Linked DNA regions of Ovis aries. The protein of the gene in region 4 purifies or fractionates together with the protein of the main gene of each other region. This does not show direct contact. Links are inferred from orthologs where the notes say so. Each region holds a gene or a part of one and is shown on either strand. Other genes may lie near its edges.

Region 1 (4,257 bases), on a different chromosome or scaffold from region 4:
AGCCATGAAATTAAAAGATGTTTACTCCTTGGAAGCAAAGTTATAACCAACCTAGACAGCATATTAAAAAGAAGAGACATTACTTTGCCAACAAAGGTCTGTGCTGTCAAAGCTGTGGTTTTTCCAGTGGTCACGTATGGATGTGAGAGTTAGACTGTGAAGAAGCTGAGCACTGAAGAATTGATGCTTTTGAACTGTGGTGTTGGAGAAGACTCTTGAGAGTCCCTTGGACTGCAAGGAAATCCAACCAGTCCATCCCAAAGGAGACCAGTCCTGGGTGTTCATTGGAAGGACTGATGCTGAAGCTGAAACTCCAATACTTTGGCCACCTCATGAGAAGAGTTGACTCACTGGAAAAGACTTTGATGCTGGGAGGGATTAGGGGCAGAAGGAGAAGGGGATGACAGAGGATGACATGGCTGGAATACATCATTGACTCGATGGACATGATTTTGGGTAAACTGCTGGAGTTGGTGATGGACAGGGAGGCCTGGCATGCTGCAATTCATGGAGTTGCAAAGAGTGGGACATGACTGAGAGACTGAACTGAGCATTATGTGTAGTTATTGCCATGGGGAAGTCTTCAGGTAGACTAAAACGTTCATGAATTAAATCCTGAGTAGTATGAGTATTTGAAATGAGGATCTGTCCAAGGAGGCTGAGAGAAGCATGACCATTTATCCCTCTGTGTCCCCCAACACAAAGCACAGGATCCAATGCAGTCACTTAGTTCGCTAAATTTAAGAGAATGGGAGCAGAATACATGGTTATTGATAGAGACCATAGGAGGTAGATTAGGAGGAGAAATGGAATGAAGAGTCACAAAAGACAGAATGAACTTGGTAGACTGAAGAGGGCGAGTGGTGCTGGGTAAGCACAGTGGACTCTACCTTTGCTTCTGCAGGGCCAGCAGAACCCAGCGGTTCAAGTTGTATCATTAGGTAGGGTCAGAATACGCAGGGCCTGAAACGGATGACAGATCGAAGAATTTAGACTCCAAAAGGCCGGCCACCCCAAGAAAAGCCCAGGTTCTGGAGTGGGCCGTGAGAACAAGAGATTTCCTTTTGGGAGGTGCACTCTGGAGGCATTGCACTGGTGGTGGCATCTGAGCTGCTGCCGCCGCCGCTGGCGACAGTGTTGAGCTGTTACCGGCGGAGTGCTTTCCACTGGACTTTCGCTTACAGTAGCTACTGAAAGGGAACAGTGCTGTCGGCTGGTGCTGCTATTTCATGCCATTCCCTGACCGAGTGCTGTTGGCACCAGACGACAGAGGCGGTGGCATCTGGGCGCAGCTGGGAGGCAGTGCGTGCGCGCTGGGCGGGGAGGTCTGCCGAAGCCTGGGGCACAGCAGCCGCCCATCCCGGCGAGGGCGGGGCGGTCGCGGAATCAGGCCACGCCCCCACTCGCCTGCGCAGGCGCGCTTCGGGGCCGTTGCTGTCAGGAGCGCACTAGAGGCCGGACCGTGGCGGGATCCGACGTCTGGCTGTACCCGGCTGACTAAACCCAGCGCAGCAGCGGCGGCGAGGGTGGCGCGGCCCCGGCTCCCTGCCAGGTCGCAGAGACTAGCAGGGACTAGCGGGCATCTGGCGGGGCAGGCACAATGGGGAATCGGGAGATGGAGGAGCTCATCCCTCTGGTGAACCGTCTGCAGGATGCCTTCTCCGCCCTGGGACAGAGCTGCCTGCTGGAGCTGCCTCAGATCGCCGTGGTGGGCGGCCAGAGCGCCGGCAAGAGCTCGGTGCTCGAGAACTTCGTGGGCAGGTGAGCACGCGAGGGGGAGGGTAGGAGGCGGGGGCGACCCCACTTCAGGCTGCTGGAGTGTCGAGGGCAGGAGCCGGAGGCTGGACCAGGGGCTGCAGCGGATGGGAGGGAAGAGCGGCAGTGTCCGTGACGGCGGGCGGGGTCGTCCCGGCTCCGGGCATCCTCTGTCCCTCCCCGCCTGGTGGCCCTCCTGTCTGCCTTTCATCCTGCGATACAAAGCCATTTCCTCCCCGTCCTCCGGTCTGGGAGTCGGGGAGGGGGTCCGCCCCAGGATGACTTCCCCCTCCCGCCCGTTGCGCGCCAGCCCCGGGGACAGCCTGAATGCGTAGCTCTCCCGGGAGCTTCCCAGTCCCCTTTCTGTTTTCCCGGCTCAATATCCTCCTCCTTTTCCTGTCAGCCTCCCCAGGCTCTCCGCGAGGCTGTGGGGTTCATTTCCCTGCCCCTCCCCCCCTTGGAGATGCTTTCCTTCTTGCCCTGGTTCTCGGCTCCTGTCAGCTGTCTACTGTTCGAGACAGTCGTCGCCTGCCCCTAGCAGGGGAGGCGGGGTTCGAGGAGAAAGAAATCGTTTGTTGTGGTGAGGCTTTAACCCACGACGCTTCCCCACAGTTCTCCTCACTAAGGAGTCCAACAGTAAAAGGTGATTGCGTTTGCGTGTGCACCTACTCACAGCTCCAGGCATAGAGAGAAACCGAGGCAGAGACTCTGAGAGGGGGGTGAACTGCGACTTGTGTTGTCCAGGTGCCATGTCATTCCTGCATCATCTCGGAATGGACCAGCATCTTTCTCATACTCTCTCTGCACCCCCTTCCCCAGCATCATCTTCGATTCCATAAGCTTTTATTTGTCCTGCGAACCTTCAAGTTAACAGCTGAATTGAAATTATGGTTCCAGGTTTCGTAGTTACTTTTAATTCTGAAAAACCCAAATAATTCATTTTTAAATTGGGAATCAGCATTCCCCGCCCCCCCCACCCGATTGAGCAGTGCATGAGAGATTAAGTTACCTTAACGGCCTTGCCTGAGGAGTGCAGACATTTGCTAAGAAAAGCCCATTGGAAAGCATTATGAAAACTGAAATCTGTTTCCTAGTAATAAACTAGGTAGAAATGTACAATAGCTGATGGAGGGGGCCAGCGATGGTACAATACAGAGACTGTACTTGACTCTTTCTGTTTGACTGGTTAGTGATTTTGAATTCAGAAGGTTCGTGGTTTGTTTGTTTTTTTGGCTTTTCTTTTCTTTTTTGTTAGTGTTTGTGTAAAATTTAGATATTCCCACATCTTTGGGAATGGTAGTATCCATAAAGTGTATATTCTTTTCTCTCAGATGATACTCTTAAGGATTTTTTTTCCCCTTCCTGATGAACTAGAAAGCTAAGAAACCTAGTTTTTAAAAAAGTAAGATTGCTGACAGTTGGCTGTTATCTTTGACTAAGTCACTTAATCACTTTTCTCAGTTTTATCATTAATTTTAGTGGTGAGAAAAGTGATGGTAAAGCATTTTGCCTACGTCATCATAGACTTATGGTCTAGTGACGGATGAATATGTGATTTCAAATGTGTACACAAAATAGTCACATACATAAGGGTTTTACTTTCTTTGATTTATTGTCAATGAAATTCAGTAAATTTAAAGTGGTATCTATAGTGAAAGTGAGGTTTGGTGAGGTTTTTTTTGGGATTTATAAACTCCAGAGCATTTAACAGGAAGCCTTAATAATCATTTAACTACTTTTGCTTTTTAAACAAATACTTAAAGATTAAAATTGTAAGTAATTCAAATGCAATGACCATATTTTATGCATCTTTCATATATTTAGTTGGATGAATTTGCCTTATAAATGCGCTTTTTGTGGCAAGAACTTTTGAACTTAATGTTGATTTTATCCACATATCTTGATTCTGTTCTTCAGATTTTCCAATCCTGAACATAGTCACTGATGCTGTAATAAAATTGTAAATATCTTTCCTCACTAGCTATCCTCTTTCCATATGAGAATTTTAAAAATCTGAAAGAGTAAAATATTTTAGCTTGAATACTCTTTATGATAGAATAAAAAATAGGGACATTGTAAATAGTATGTATACCAGCATATTTATCAGAATACGTTAGTAATATATTGGTAATTTAATTTACCAATAATTAAATACTATAAGAATGTCAAGTCAAAGGAAAGGATGGGCATAAAGGAAAAAACTGATTTAATAAATATAGCAAGGCTTTATTATCTGTAGAGATGACACCTGCCAGCAGAACTTATATATTAGGTGAAAATTTAATTAAAAAAGTAATTTGATTTTAGTAAAGGTTTCAGTCATTGAATTATTGAGGAATCTAATTTCTAATTATAAACCTTAGGGAAAAAGGAGTTCTGTATTTTGTTAGGAGATTCATTCTAAGTGGAAAAAACTGCTCATATTAAACTGTAACCTTTTATCTTTTTATTATCCAGAAAATTTTCAATAAAGATAAGGTTCTTTAAGAATGAAACTTTCCT
Region 2 (3,560 bases), on a different chromosome or scaffold from region 4:
GCTTAATCCTGATGGAAAGGGCTGATGCTGCTGGGGAGGGGCAGGGCAACCAGTGGTGGGCAGAACCCCACCCTTTCCACCCGTAGATATGGTTAGGCTACAGCTGGGGGACAGGTTGTTGAAGAGAGGGGTTCCCACCTTAGGACTTCCCTTTTCTCTGTGAAGTTTAAGGAGGCGGGCAGCACACGGCTTTAGGAGGGTTGAGAAGGTTCAAGACAAAGCTCCTGGGAAGCAGTCAGATGGGGAGCCAGCCAGGAAACTGTGGGTTGGCCAGGAGGCCATGGGAGCCCAGATGAGGCTGAAACCACAGAGTTAACACAGCTGCAGTCCTCAGGACCACACGGTTGTCTGTCTGCAGCACCCAGCAGCCTGTCTGCAGTCATGGAGAGATTAGACTGCAGAATTGACGCAGGGGCGATGGAAGAATAGTGCAGGAGGGGACTGGCCGCAGCAAGGAACCAGAGGATGTGAAGACAGCTGCAAGGAGACCTGCAAAATCCAGTAGGGGCTCAAAGAAGAGGGATCGAAGGCCTGGGTCCTGGTGAAGTCAGAAGTGGGGAAAGAGTAGCCAAGGGAAAGACTGAGAGGCTGGAAGGCGGTCAGATGGAAGTGTTTGAGTTTATTGCTTCAGAGGCACTGCGGTTCCAAGGGGCATGAGTGTGGAGTAGAGGAGCACGCCAGCAGGGTGAAGCGTCAGGTTGGTGGGTTATCCACAGAGGCTTCGGTGTCACCCAGAAAGATGGCGGGGCCCAGCTTACCATCTCGCTCTCTCCTTGGTCCTCAGTGAATGGGTTCTAGTGACCAAAAGGGTGGAGGTGGGAGATTATGGCGGCAAACGGGTTGAGGGTGTTACACAAATTCTGGAAGGCACAGCCTCCAGAAATAAAGAGGCCTTTTCAGGGTTGGAAGATTAAAGTTTTGGAATTGGAGTCAGGTGGCATGGGGCTCCCTGACGCCACTTCCCGACCCTGTGGAAAACGGAGGTGAGGAGACCTCGGGAAGAACCAACTCCCGCCTGTTAAATTAAAGCAGAGGGTTACACGCCCAGGGCACCAAGTAGTGAGGAGTCTTCCAGGGGAAGGGTGTAGTGTATGACTGTGTCTGCCGTGAGGGGCGGTTCCATAGACTAGCAGGCAGGTTTGAAGGGAGGGCAGTGAGCGTCCGACTCAGCCAGCACTGAGAGTGCTGCTCAGAGCGCCTTGACAGCTGTGGAGTCAACCCAGCCCCAGATGTTAGCCGCCACTGGGCCTCCTGTTGCTCTGAGATGAGACTTAAAAAAAAATTATTACTATTAAATGTGTTTATTTTAATGGAAAGATAATTGCTTGATAGTATTGTGCTGGTTTCTGCCAGTATCGGCATTAAGCAGCCATAGGTATTACTGTGTCCCCTGTGACTGTCTTTTTTTAAGTAATCTAATTAGTTAGTGGCTGTGCTGGGTCTTGGTTGCTACGGACAGGCTTTCTCTAGCTGTGGTGAGCAGGGGCTACTCTCTCTGTGGTTCACAGGCTTCAGTATTTGTGGCATGGGCAATCTTCCCAGACCAGGGATTGAACCCATGTCCATCTGCATTGGCAGACAGATTCTTCACCACGGGACCACCCGGGAAGCCCAGGGGGCTATCTTTAATTACTTTTTCTACGGTACGAGAGCATTTGCACTAATTCTAGTTGTATACATATAACCTCTTTATATATACCCACATGCTTAACTTAGACATGTTTGCAGTATCATCATGTTAAGGTGTTTATTTTATATATTTAACCCCTTAAGCCTAGACTGGGGCGGGGGGCGGGCGGGGAGAAATCTCTGAGAAAGTTAACGTGCTGGTAAGGTGGCCAACCTTGCGTTTTCTCAGGTGATGTGGATGACTATAGTGCTGAGGTAGAGGAGATCCTTCCTCAGCATCTCCAGCCATCTTCCAGTTCTGGCCTTGGCACGTCCCCCGGTTCTTCACCCCGGACCAGTCCCTGCCAGTCACCTACCATATCGGAGGGGCCTGTGCCTTCCCTCCCAGTGAGACCAAGTCGAGCTCCGTCCAGAACACCCGGGCCCCCCGCTTCACAAAGTATGTGTTTTATTTCAAGTTTTGTATGACTTCCCAGGCTGATATGTTTGATTTTAGATGGTTAAACCTCTGATGCCTTCAGATCTCCTTTGTAGAGCTATTTTTGCTTAACTTTCACATCCATAGGCTAAAATTTAGCATGTTTTCTGTGCCTGCAAAAGAAGAAACTTTGTAGATGGTTCCGCCCTAAGTGAAGAGGAAGCTTGTTGCTATCACTAGATGAGAACTTCACTTCATCCTTTTTCTATGTGGCAGCTTTGTCCATGGCTTATCACTGATGATTTTTAAGCATTATGGTCAGAACCCATAACTCTTTGGGCTTAACTATCTGTACATTACCTGCTTTATAATAGGAAGCAGAAAGAGACAAAACAAGTATTTTGAATTCAACTTGATAGTCATGACTCCTCCAAAGTCAGAAGGTTTTTCTCTGTAAGTTGTTACACCACACAGTTCAGTCACTGTTCCACACTAACCAGTATCCTTGAAAAATACCTTTTATTTCAGCAGTTTCTTGAGCTCCCCCATGCTACTCTTAGGGGACCATTGTTAAATAGTCACTGAGTCATATCTGACTATTTTGCGACCCCATGGATTGTAGCCTGCCAAGCTCCTCTGTCCATGGGATTTCCCAGGCAAGAATATGGGAGTGGGTTGCCATTTCCTTCTCCAGGAAATCTTCCTGATTCAGGGATCAAACTTGCATCTCCTGCATTGGCGGGTGGATTCTTTACCACTGAGCCACGAGGGAAGCCCTCTGAGGATGGGCTTCCTTCAGTAAATTCAGGATAAGTCAAGACATAGAAAGAAGAGGCTCCCTTTGCTTTTTCTTCTCCTGGCCAGCAGATTGGATTGCAAATGACCTAACTCACACGATACTTCATGCCATCTTGTTAGGGCCACTCAGTAAATCCCCTTTCAGTACCCGGGGCCTGGATAAGAAGTCCAGAGAGTAACCTGATTGCTCCCATAGTACCACAGGGTAAGGTAATAGTGTAAGGTAATAGCACAGCTGCTTGTGTTATTGATACTAAAAATGTGTGTCATTCCTCTATAGTACAAATTATTTTGCTAAATAATTTATCATACACCTATAGAAAGTACCTGTGTGCTCATCCCTTGGAACCTGATCCTTTTACCTAAGGTACTTTTTTCTGGTAGGTTCTCCTGTTGACACTCTGCCAGCAACACAGCTGCAGCAGAAAGATTCTTCCCAGACCCTGGAACCCAAGCGGCCTCCCCCTCCCCGCCCGGTTGCTCCTCCTGCACGTCCAGCTCCCCCACAACGACCGCCTCCGCCTTCAGGTGACAAATCCTTGTATTTCCATCTCTGCTGGATTTCACCTCTCTGCTGAAAAATGTTTTGCATGTTTTTGAAATGCTCGCTTTTAGATTTTATCAGTTTTCTGTCACTGGTGCTGCTTCCTTAGTTGGCTTTTCTCTAAAAAAACGGCATAGGCGTGACAGAACAGCTAGATTCCTGTAACATGTT
Region 3 (4,250 bases), on a different chromosome or scaffold from region 4:
TCTAGGCTCCTCTGTTCTCCAGGGTTCTCTCTCTGTTCTCTGTTCTCTCTTCCCTAGTCTCCTTGTGGGGAGTCCCAGTTAGGTTCCTTAAATGCAGAGGTGGAAAACTTGGCTTGGGGCCCCCCGGTCTTTCTATGTGAAAAAAATTAATAGGGTAGGGTTTCAAGAGTCGTGGATTCGAGCCCTACTGTTTTACCACCACCCTGATGGTTTGGGGAGAACACTTCACTTACCAGGACAAGACGTTCCAACTGTCCCAAGAAGGCCCTTCCAAGTGTCAGAGCCTTTGTACCTGCTGTTCATTTGGCCTGGCTAGCTGCTCCTCGGAGAAGGCAATGGCAACCCACTCTAGTACTCTTGCCTGGAAAATCCCATGGACAGAGGAGCCTGGTAGGCTGCAGTCCACGGGGTCTCGAAGAGTCAGACACGACTGAGCGACTTCACTTTCACTTTTCACTTTCATGCATTAGAGAAGGAAATGGCAACCCACTCCAGTGTTCTTGCCTGGAGAATCCCAGGGACAGCGGAGCCTGGTGGGCTGCCACCTATGGGGTCGCACAGAGTTGGACACAACTGAAGCGACTTAGCAGCAGCAGCAGCAGCTGCTTCTCACCATTCAGGTCTCTTCTCAACTGTCACCTCCACAGAGAACCCTCCCAACCTGCCAGGCTAAAGAGAACTCTTCATATGCTGTGCTGATTTCTCGCATCACTATTAGTGTACACTATCTTCACTTGTACTGTTTCATTTATCTGTTTATTCATTTACTGTCTGTCTCCACTGTAAGATCTATGAGGGTAGAGACCTGGTCTGTCTTGTTTACTGCTATATCTCCAGCGCCTAGAACAGGGTATGGCTTACAGTACGTGTTCAGTAAATATTTGTTAAATTAATGCTCTATATCTTTTCCTTCTAGAAACAGGGAGATTGAGGCCCAAAGGCGGGAAGGGAAATGCCGGAGATAAAATTAGTGTTACAACCCAAAGTAGAAGGCAGTGAAGCCAAGTGAAACTGAAGGTCAGAAGACTATGACCTTGGAAGGAGGCCGTGCCTCCAAGCCTCAGTTTCCCCGTCTGTAAGAGGGAGTGAGGCAGCCACGACTACTCTCCAAGGGGTCTGGTACTAAGGGCACCTAGTACCTAGGAGACTTTGCCCGTTTCCTGGAAAGATAACGTGCGGTGCAGCATCTGTGCCTCCCCCAGACACGGCTCAAGCGTCCCCAAAAGCCGCAGAAGTTGAAAACTACAGTCCCCATAGTGCTACGGGCGGCGCCTGCGCACAGCTGCCGACCCGCGGCGCAGCGGGCGCCCCCTCGCGGCATCCCGGCGCAGCGCGGCGCTCCGATCCCCGAGGGGCGGGGGGACCCGCGGCGCAGAAAAGCGTCGGAGCGCGCCGCTGCATCCGCGGAGCCGAAGCCGGGAGCCCAAGCGGCGGCCGGATCGCAGCCTGCTGAGCCAGCCGCAGCCATGGGCAACCGTGGCATGGAGGATCTCATCCCGCTGGTCAACCGGCTGCAGGATGCCTTCTCCGCCATCGGCCAGAACGCGGATCTCGACCTGCCGCAGATCGCCGTGGTGGGCGGCCAGAGCGCCGGCAAGAGCTCGGTGCTCGAGAATTTCGTAGGCAGGTAGGAAGTGGCGCGCCCCTGGGACGCGGACTCCCCGCGCCCGGGTCCTCCGGGTCTCGGGACCCGGCCCCGACGGCGCCGGGACCTCGTAGCCCCTGGCGCTGCACGGCGGACAGCGCGCCACCCCCCCGCCCCCACCTCCAGCCAGAAGGAGGAGGCGGCCCTCCCCCGCGACGAGAGCCCTTCGGGGGCGCAGCGCCCTCCACCCTCCTCATCCCCGCTGGGCCGCAGACGTCAAGCCTGCGGCCGAGGGCTCACGCCCCCCTCCTCCGCTCCATCCTTTAGGAAGACAGCAGACTCGGGCAAAGGGCTGTTCCCCCACCCCTACCCCCCCCCATGGGTACCGAGGGGCCTACATGACTCCCCTCGGTTCTGAGGGGGTCTCTTGAAGCGGGCAGCACCCCTGGGCCCATGCCCCCAGGCTCTATGGACAGCTCCCCCTCCTCTCATGGGGATTCCTGGACTGCGGTGGGGGGTCACCCCTCCCGTCGCCCCTGGGAGAGGACATAGACCCTTGAGCATCGGGGACCAGATACAGTCTCCCCCGTCACACACACCTCTGCGGCTCCGGCCGCCATCCGTGAGCAGCGCGGAAGAGGGGGGAGGCGCGACTGCAGGATGAGGAAGAGGGGGTGGGGGGAGCGAGCGCCTCTGAGCCTTCCCCAAGCCGCCGGCCCCTTGCCCTGCCGCCGCCCCTGGGTGGGGGGGGGGGGGGGGCGCCTGTCAGTGTCGTCCTCCCCTTGGCCTGGCAGAGGGATTGGAATGGAGGGAGAAGGCGGTGGAGGACAGAGATGACTAAGACAGGGAGGGAGGCGGGCTGGCGGGGAGGGGTGGGGGGAGCCATTTGCACGACCTAATCCCCCTCCTGCCTCGGATCCCACAAGGCGCCGGGAGGGCCAGGTGGCAAGGAGTCAGGGGCAACCACCAAGACAAAGAGCCCTGGGGTTAGGGAGGCAGGCAGGGTCGTGACCACCCCCCAGGCTCTCCCCAAGAAGGGGAGACAGAGATGGGCTTTCCGGGGGCTGAGAAGGAGAGAGAGGCCGGCGCTCTTCCCGGGGAGCTGGAGGCGGAGGGAGCGTGCTGGGCAGACTGAGGGAGGAGGCAAGAGAATTGACGCTGACCTCCCCATTCTGTCATCTACCTTCCTACCCTCCTTCAGAAACCCTAGCTTTCCTCCAATGACCTTCATGGGTAAAGAGGCGGATGACCTGTGCCAGAGAGGGAGGCAGGCAGAGAGGGCTTTCTCCTCCCCTCATCCCAGGGATGGCAGTTCTGGGCTGAGACATCCTGGGTCCCAAACCAGGTTCTGCTGTGAAACCTCCAGCGAGTCACTGCCCTCTCTGAGCCTCAGTTTCCCCATCTCTAATATGGGCGATTAGACTGGACGGTCATCCCCGCCCCTCAAATGACCTGGGAAGGCCCAGTGTCAGCCTCAGGGGTGAGAGAAAAGGATACTGCACAGATCGATGTATCTGTGGGACGCGGGAGAGCCACTGTGGGGGCAGCCGGGCCCATCTGATCAGCAGGGGGGACGCCATCTGTCTCCCGGGGAAGGGCTTCCAGAGAACCCCTTTCCTGCTCATGTGACCCCACCTTCCCCCAGAGCTGCAGAGACACAGACAAGAGACACAGAGATGGTCCGTGTCCCTATGGCTCAACAGTCACCGCGAGGGGGCTGGGAGGACCCTGGAGGCAATACAGCCCCTGAGGCCCTCATGCTTTAGATGACAGTCGTGGACATCCTGTACTTTTCAGGGTACAAACCACAGGCCTGCCTCTCCCCCCTCTGCTCATGCATGCTCTGTGCCTGCTGCGTGCTCTGGGCAGGGGGCACAAGGGAGCAGCTGACCTCAGCCACTGTCTGCCAGGCCCTTCCCCTGTGCCCCCTGCCAGGCTATATGGGACAGATCACAAGAGCCCCGTGAGGCGGGTACTGTGATGACCACCCTGCAGGGGAGGAAGCAGACGCTGAGGTTAGAGGCCCTGTCCAAGGTCACAGGGCCAAGAAGGACCGTGCCCGTCAGGCTCCAATCTGGGGCCCACACCACCTCTAAGAGTCCAGCTCAGCACTGAACACAGGAACACCCAAGTGTATGGACCCCCACTTTCCCCATCTGAGGAATGGGCCCAATGCCAGCTGCCACCCTGCCTTCCTGAGACATGGGTGTGGGGCTCCAGCAAGTTCACAAGTATAAAAGCCCCCTTTTATAGACTTGTGGAAGGGAGGTATCAATGTTCAGTTAGGTTTGGGGCCTGTGTGGGCCAGGAGACCTAGCTGCTGCCATCTCGGAGTCCACCATCCAGCCGAGAGAGGTGCCGGGGGTGGACCGCACAGCAGGCCAGCCTGGCCACAGCTGACTTCCGTAACTGTTAGCTTGTCGAGGGGTCGAGTGAGATTCAGACTCTGCCCCCAGAGGCTTGGACCCTCTCGCTGCCCTCCACAATCCAATAGCCTTTGACTGCAGTTTCGCAGGAGGATACACAGGGTGTCCAGGCGCAGGTCTGGGGCAGAGTAGAGGCCTGGCGTACAGTGGCGTGCACAGGGATGCATTAGTTGATTCTCATGAAAGCTAGTGAGGAGGCCAGGACTGGAGTGGGAAACAGGTTCACTGGGGTCCCCACA
Region 4 (4,058 bases):
TTCGGTTTGATGTAAGAATCACCAGGAAGTGGGAAAACTGAGGAAGACTCCTATGTAAGTGCTTCTCCTTTGTTTTTGAAACCAGAAGTGGCTTGTCACAATGTAAACATGGAAAGGAGTACCATGTGGAATAGTGATTAGAAAGGTGAAAGAATGACTGTTACCTGCCTTCTGTGGAGAAGACAATAAAGTAGGAAGTGTTTATCCATGCTTTAAGGCTTGTGCTTAGTGTGGATAAACACAATTCAAGTTTAGTACAAAAACTATTCTTTCTAATTTTATGGAAAAACACCCACTCCAGTATTCTTGCCTGGAAAATTCCATGGTCAGAGGAGTCTGATGGGCTACAGTCCTGGGGTTGCAAAGAGCAGGACGCAACTGAGCATACAAGTTCAGGTTTAAGTATCAGATAAAATTTTCGTTATATATACCAGCACTAGTTGCTAAGCTGAGTCCCACTGAATGGACAGTCTAACATGGGCCAGTAGATCAGGGTGCAAAGTATCAAACGCTGACCATCAAAGGAATAGCTATCTACCATAAACAGCTTTCAAGGTTGTAAGATGAGTGCAAAATACGACGTGTAATTGGTAATTTAAATGTTTGGCAACAAACCTCAAAGTCAAATTTCCTTAGAAATATTTGATCTAAAGTTTTGTTTCTAAAAAGATCAACATGAAATGATACATGTTAAAAAGGTAGCAAAGTTCTATCACATCTAAGAAAACCAAGACAGAGTCTCAAGTGAATTTAAAGTCTCTCAGTCGTGTCCAGCTCTTTGCAACTCCATGGACTGCAGCCTACCAGGTTCCACCGTCCATGGGATTTTCCAGGCCAGAATATTGGAGTGGGTAATCTTTCCCTTCTCCAGGGATCTTCCCGACCCAGGGATCGAACCCAGTTCCTCCGCACTGCAGGCGGATTCTTTACCAGCTGAGCCCACCAGGGAAGATAGAGCTTAGCCAATAATAACAAGAAAGTAATTATTTCAGTACCACTTCCCTGGTGGCTCAGACGGTAAAGTGTCTGCCTACAATGCCTTAGACCCAGGTTCAATCCCTGGGTTGGGAAGATCTCCTGGAGAAGGAAATGGCAACCCACTCCAGTATTCTTGCCTGGAAAATCCCATGGACGGTGGAACCTGGTAGGCTATAGTCCATGGGGTCGCAAAGAGTCGGACACGACTGAGCAACTTCACTTCACAATTATTTCAGTAACAGCAGGCAACAGGTTCCCCGGATAAGAATCTCCATCAAAAAAAAAAAAAAAAAAAAAAGGCAAAAAACACACTGCACCTAGACAGAAACAGAACACAAAATTTCACAGGCTGAAATATCAATATGATCTTCGAAAGGGGTTTTAAACTTACCAGTTTTCTAAGTTTTCTCTCTCTACCAAAACCAAAAACCCAACAGCAACAAATCTAAGGCTTTCACCAACCCAAGAAGTGAGGTTTAAAAAATAAACACGGTAGAGGGTTCTGATGTTAATAAAAGGGGCATTACTAAAACTACTTCCAAAATCAAAAAGAAAGTCAACTCAAACCCCACCCCTGGCTCCTGGAGGGGAGCGTGGCTTTCCCTAGTCAGTGGCCGTCGAGAACTAAACGCCCCAGCCCCAAGGAGCTGGGGGAGGAAGGTAGCGAAGGGTGAACGCTAATTTCGCCGACAATACTGTAAAATAAGCAAACCACCGCTCCTGGCCAATTAACTAAGCGCGACTCAAAGTTCCACCACGTAATTTGGGCCTGGACCTTTTTTTTTTTTTTTTTTAAAGCAAACAACGTAATTGAAAGCAGAGTCATTTCCCTCTTGGTATTTTATTCATGCTGGAAATAACATTCAAATCGAAAAGGTAGCAAAACAAAAGAGGAAAAAAAAAAAAACACAACACAAGAAAATTGAGGGAAGTGGAAGCGCGCGGGACGTTTCACTGGGGTTTTTTTCCCTCCTCAGGAGCCTTGACTCTCCGGCCTGCATTTTAAATTCCCAGTCCGGCCGGGCGCGGGTCGGACCCCCGAAAGCTGCCCGCGGCGCCGGGGGGTCCCACCCTCTGCGGAGGGAGGAGAGAACGCGGCTCCCGCGGCGGCGGCGGCCGGACGCGCGGAGCGGCGGAGAGTGGACTCCACTCGGGACCGAGTCGGGGGCTCCCGGCGGGCGGGCAGCTCCTCAGGGCGGGCGCCGGGCAGCTGCGGGAACTTTCCCTCCCTCCGTGCCCGGCCGCGGCCCACACGCTCAGGCGCAAACTTTGCAGACGGCGCCGCGAGCGGCCGGGGTCCCGCCCCGCGCCCCCCAGCCGAGACCCCGAGCGCCCCGGCCCCGGCCCCTCGTCCGCCCTGCGTGCCCCGAGCCCGGCCCGAGCTGGGTGGGCCCCGGCGCGACCCCTCGGCCTCCCCGGCGGCGCCGCCGCCCGCGCCCCCGCCCCCGGCCGCGACCCTCCCCCGCGCCGCCGCAGGGCCGAGCGGCCGGCCCGGGGCCCGGGCCGCGCTCCCCTCACCTTGGTGGCCATGGCGGGCGGATCTCCCCCCCGCCCTCGGCCCGGGACGGTCGGCTCCTCTCCCGCGCCGCGGCTATCGGCCCCAGGCGGCCGGACGAAAGCGAGGGCGGCGGCGGCGGCGGCAGCTACGGCTGGGCCCCGGCGCGGCGGCGGCTCCGCCCCGGCCCCGAGTCTCGGCTCTGGGCGACTCCAGCCGCCGCCCCGCTCCTCCAGTTCCTGAAACTCCCCGGCTGCGCGGCCCCCGCCCCCGCCGGCCGAGCCTCCCATCTACCGCGGCGTGCGCGGCGCGGCCGGCGGAAGCGCGCCCGGTGCCCTGGGCCGGCCCGGCCTCCTCTCCCACTTTCCGCCCCCGCCCGGAGCCTCCGCCTCGGGCCGCGCCGCCGGCGCCCTTTGTCGCAGGGCTCGGGGCCGCGTCCCCCGAGCGGCGGCCGGGGTCGGGCCGGATCATGGTCCCCCCACCGACCGCGTCCCGCCTGGCTGCCCCGCCGTGGGGACGGTGGACGGGAGTGAGGGACACGCTTATGAGGGAGCGCCTGCCGGGGAGCCGAGTCCCGAGCGGCCCTTCAGCCGGTCACCGCGACTGAAGTGTTTCGCTGTGGAGATACAACGGGGCCCCCCAGCACGACGGGCTCGAGTCGCGGACGGGGTCTTTGTCCCGCGTCGGCATGGCTGTGGGGCCGGTCGTGCTCGGGGCTGAGTGAAATGAGTGTGGAGAACGCAGCCGGCACGGAGCGCAGCAATGGCTTCCAGGTCCGCTGGCCCTTCGCGGAAGACCCGCCGCCCGCCTGGAGTTGCCCGCGGGCTGTGGTCCCCGGCCCGGAGCTTCAGGGCCCCGACGCTTGGGGCTTTCGTTCTGAGGCGTCCCGTTAACCTCCTTCTGGACTCCTGATAAATTTAAAAAACGCCTCCGGGCCCCGGAGGTTAGGGGGAGACCCAACAGGTTTCCCGAAATGGAAATTTTAGAAGTCTTAAAAATTTCCATTTTTCTTCAGAGTTGGATGTGTGTCCTTTGTTATCAATAATACATGAATGAGTTGAATAGCAAGATTTTCGCTCAAGTACGAAAGATGTGACTGAAAGACATCTCTTGATGGAAATATTATTACAGTACATTCTATTTTATCACGGGGATATGTACCTCGTAAAAGAGGCAACTATCAAAATTCATCTTTAAGCGAGGAAAGCGGTACAATTAATGTCAAATTTTGTCCTCTCGAAAATATTCTATTTGATCTCCAGAAATTTAACTGGTTACCTTCTACAAAGAGGTTTTAAATGGATATGGTACTAAAGCATTTTCGGTGAATTTTTGTGTTTGTTGAGTTCGGGAGCTACGGCTATTATCAATCATGCTGTTTGTTAGTCGCTCAATCGTGTCCGACTCTTTGGGACCCCGTGGACTGTATCCCACCAGGCTCCTCTGTCCTTACTGGAGCAGGGTGCCATTTCCTCCTCCAGGGAATCGTCCCAACCCAGGGATCGAACCAACGTCTCCCGCATTGCTGGCAAATTCTTTACCACCTGAACCACCAGGGAAGCCCAGGTGGCCCAAGTGAGAAAGA

Evidence for each region.
Region 1: the proteins of SNX9 (region 4) and DNM3 purify together in Homo sapiens (co-immunoprecipitation; 3 studies listed by BioGRID and IntAct, counting the BioPlex papers as one, with this or other methods). This does not show direct contact. The link is inferred for Ovis aries from reciprocal best matches to the Homo sapiens genes SNX9 and DNM3.
Region 2: the proteins of SNX9 (region 4) and SYNJ1 purify together in Homo sapiens (co-immunoprecipitation; 3 studies listed by BioGRID and IntAct, counting the BioPlex papers as one, with this or other methods). This does not show direct contact. The link is inferred for Ovis aries from reciprocal best matches to the Homo sapiens genes SNX9 and SYNJ1.
Region 3: the proteins of SNX9 (region 4) and DNM1 purify together in Homo sapiens (co-immunoprecipitation; 6 studies listed by BioGRID and IntAct, counting the BioPlex papers as one, with this or other methods). This does not show direct contact. The link is inferred for Ovis aries from reciprocal best matches to the Homo sapiens genes SNX9 and DNM1.

Annotation. Positions count from the first base shown.
Region 1 is NC_056065.1:38,533,967-38,538,223, forward strand, and holds the start of DNM3 (dynamin-3), read left to right. Parts: upstream 1-1,430; 5' UTR 1,431-1,600; coding exon 1,601-1,761; intron 1,762-4,257. UniProt on the Homo sapiens protein: Microtubule-associated force-producing protein involved in producing microtubule bundles and able to bind and hydrolyze GTP. Most probably involved in vesicular trafficking processes, in particular endocytosis.
Region 2 is NC_056054.1:123,577,264-123,580,823, forward strand, and holds part of SYNJ1 (synaptojanin-1), read left to right. Parts: intron 1-1,858; coding exon 1,859-2,068; intron 2,069-3,229; coding exon 3,230-3,373; intron 3,374-3,560. UniProt on the Homo sapiens protein: Phosphatase that acts on various phosphoinositides, including phosphatidylinositol 4-phosphate, phosphatidylinositol (4,5)-bisphosphate and phosphatidylinositol (3,4,5)-trisphosphate. Has a role in clathrin-mediated endocytosis.
Region 3 is NC_056056.1:8,070,248-8,074,497, reverse strand, and holds the start of DNM1 (dynamin-1), read left to right. Parts: upstream 1-1,403; 5' UTR 1,404-1,466; coding exon 1,467-1,627; intron 1,628-4,250. UniProt on the Homo sapiens protein: Catalyzes the hydrolysis of GTP and utilizes this energy to mediate vesicle scission and participates in many forms of endocytosis, such as clathrin-mediated endocytosis or synaptic vesicle endocytosis as well as rapid endocytosis (RE).
Region 4 is NC_056061.1:82,167,902-82,171,959, reverse strand, and holds the start of SNX9 (sorting nexin-9), read right to left. Parts: upstream 2,812-4,058; 5' UTR 2,764-2,811; coding exon 2,497-2,763; intron 1-2,496. UniProt on the Homo sapiens protein: Involved in endocytosis and intracellular vesicle trafficking, both during interphase and at the end of mitosis. Required for efficient progress through mitosis and cytokinesis. Required for normal formation of the cleavage furrow at the end of mitosis.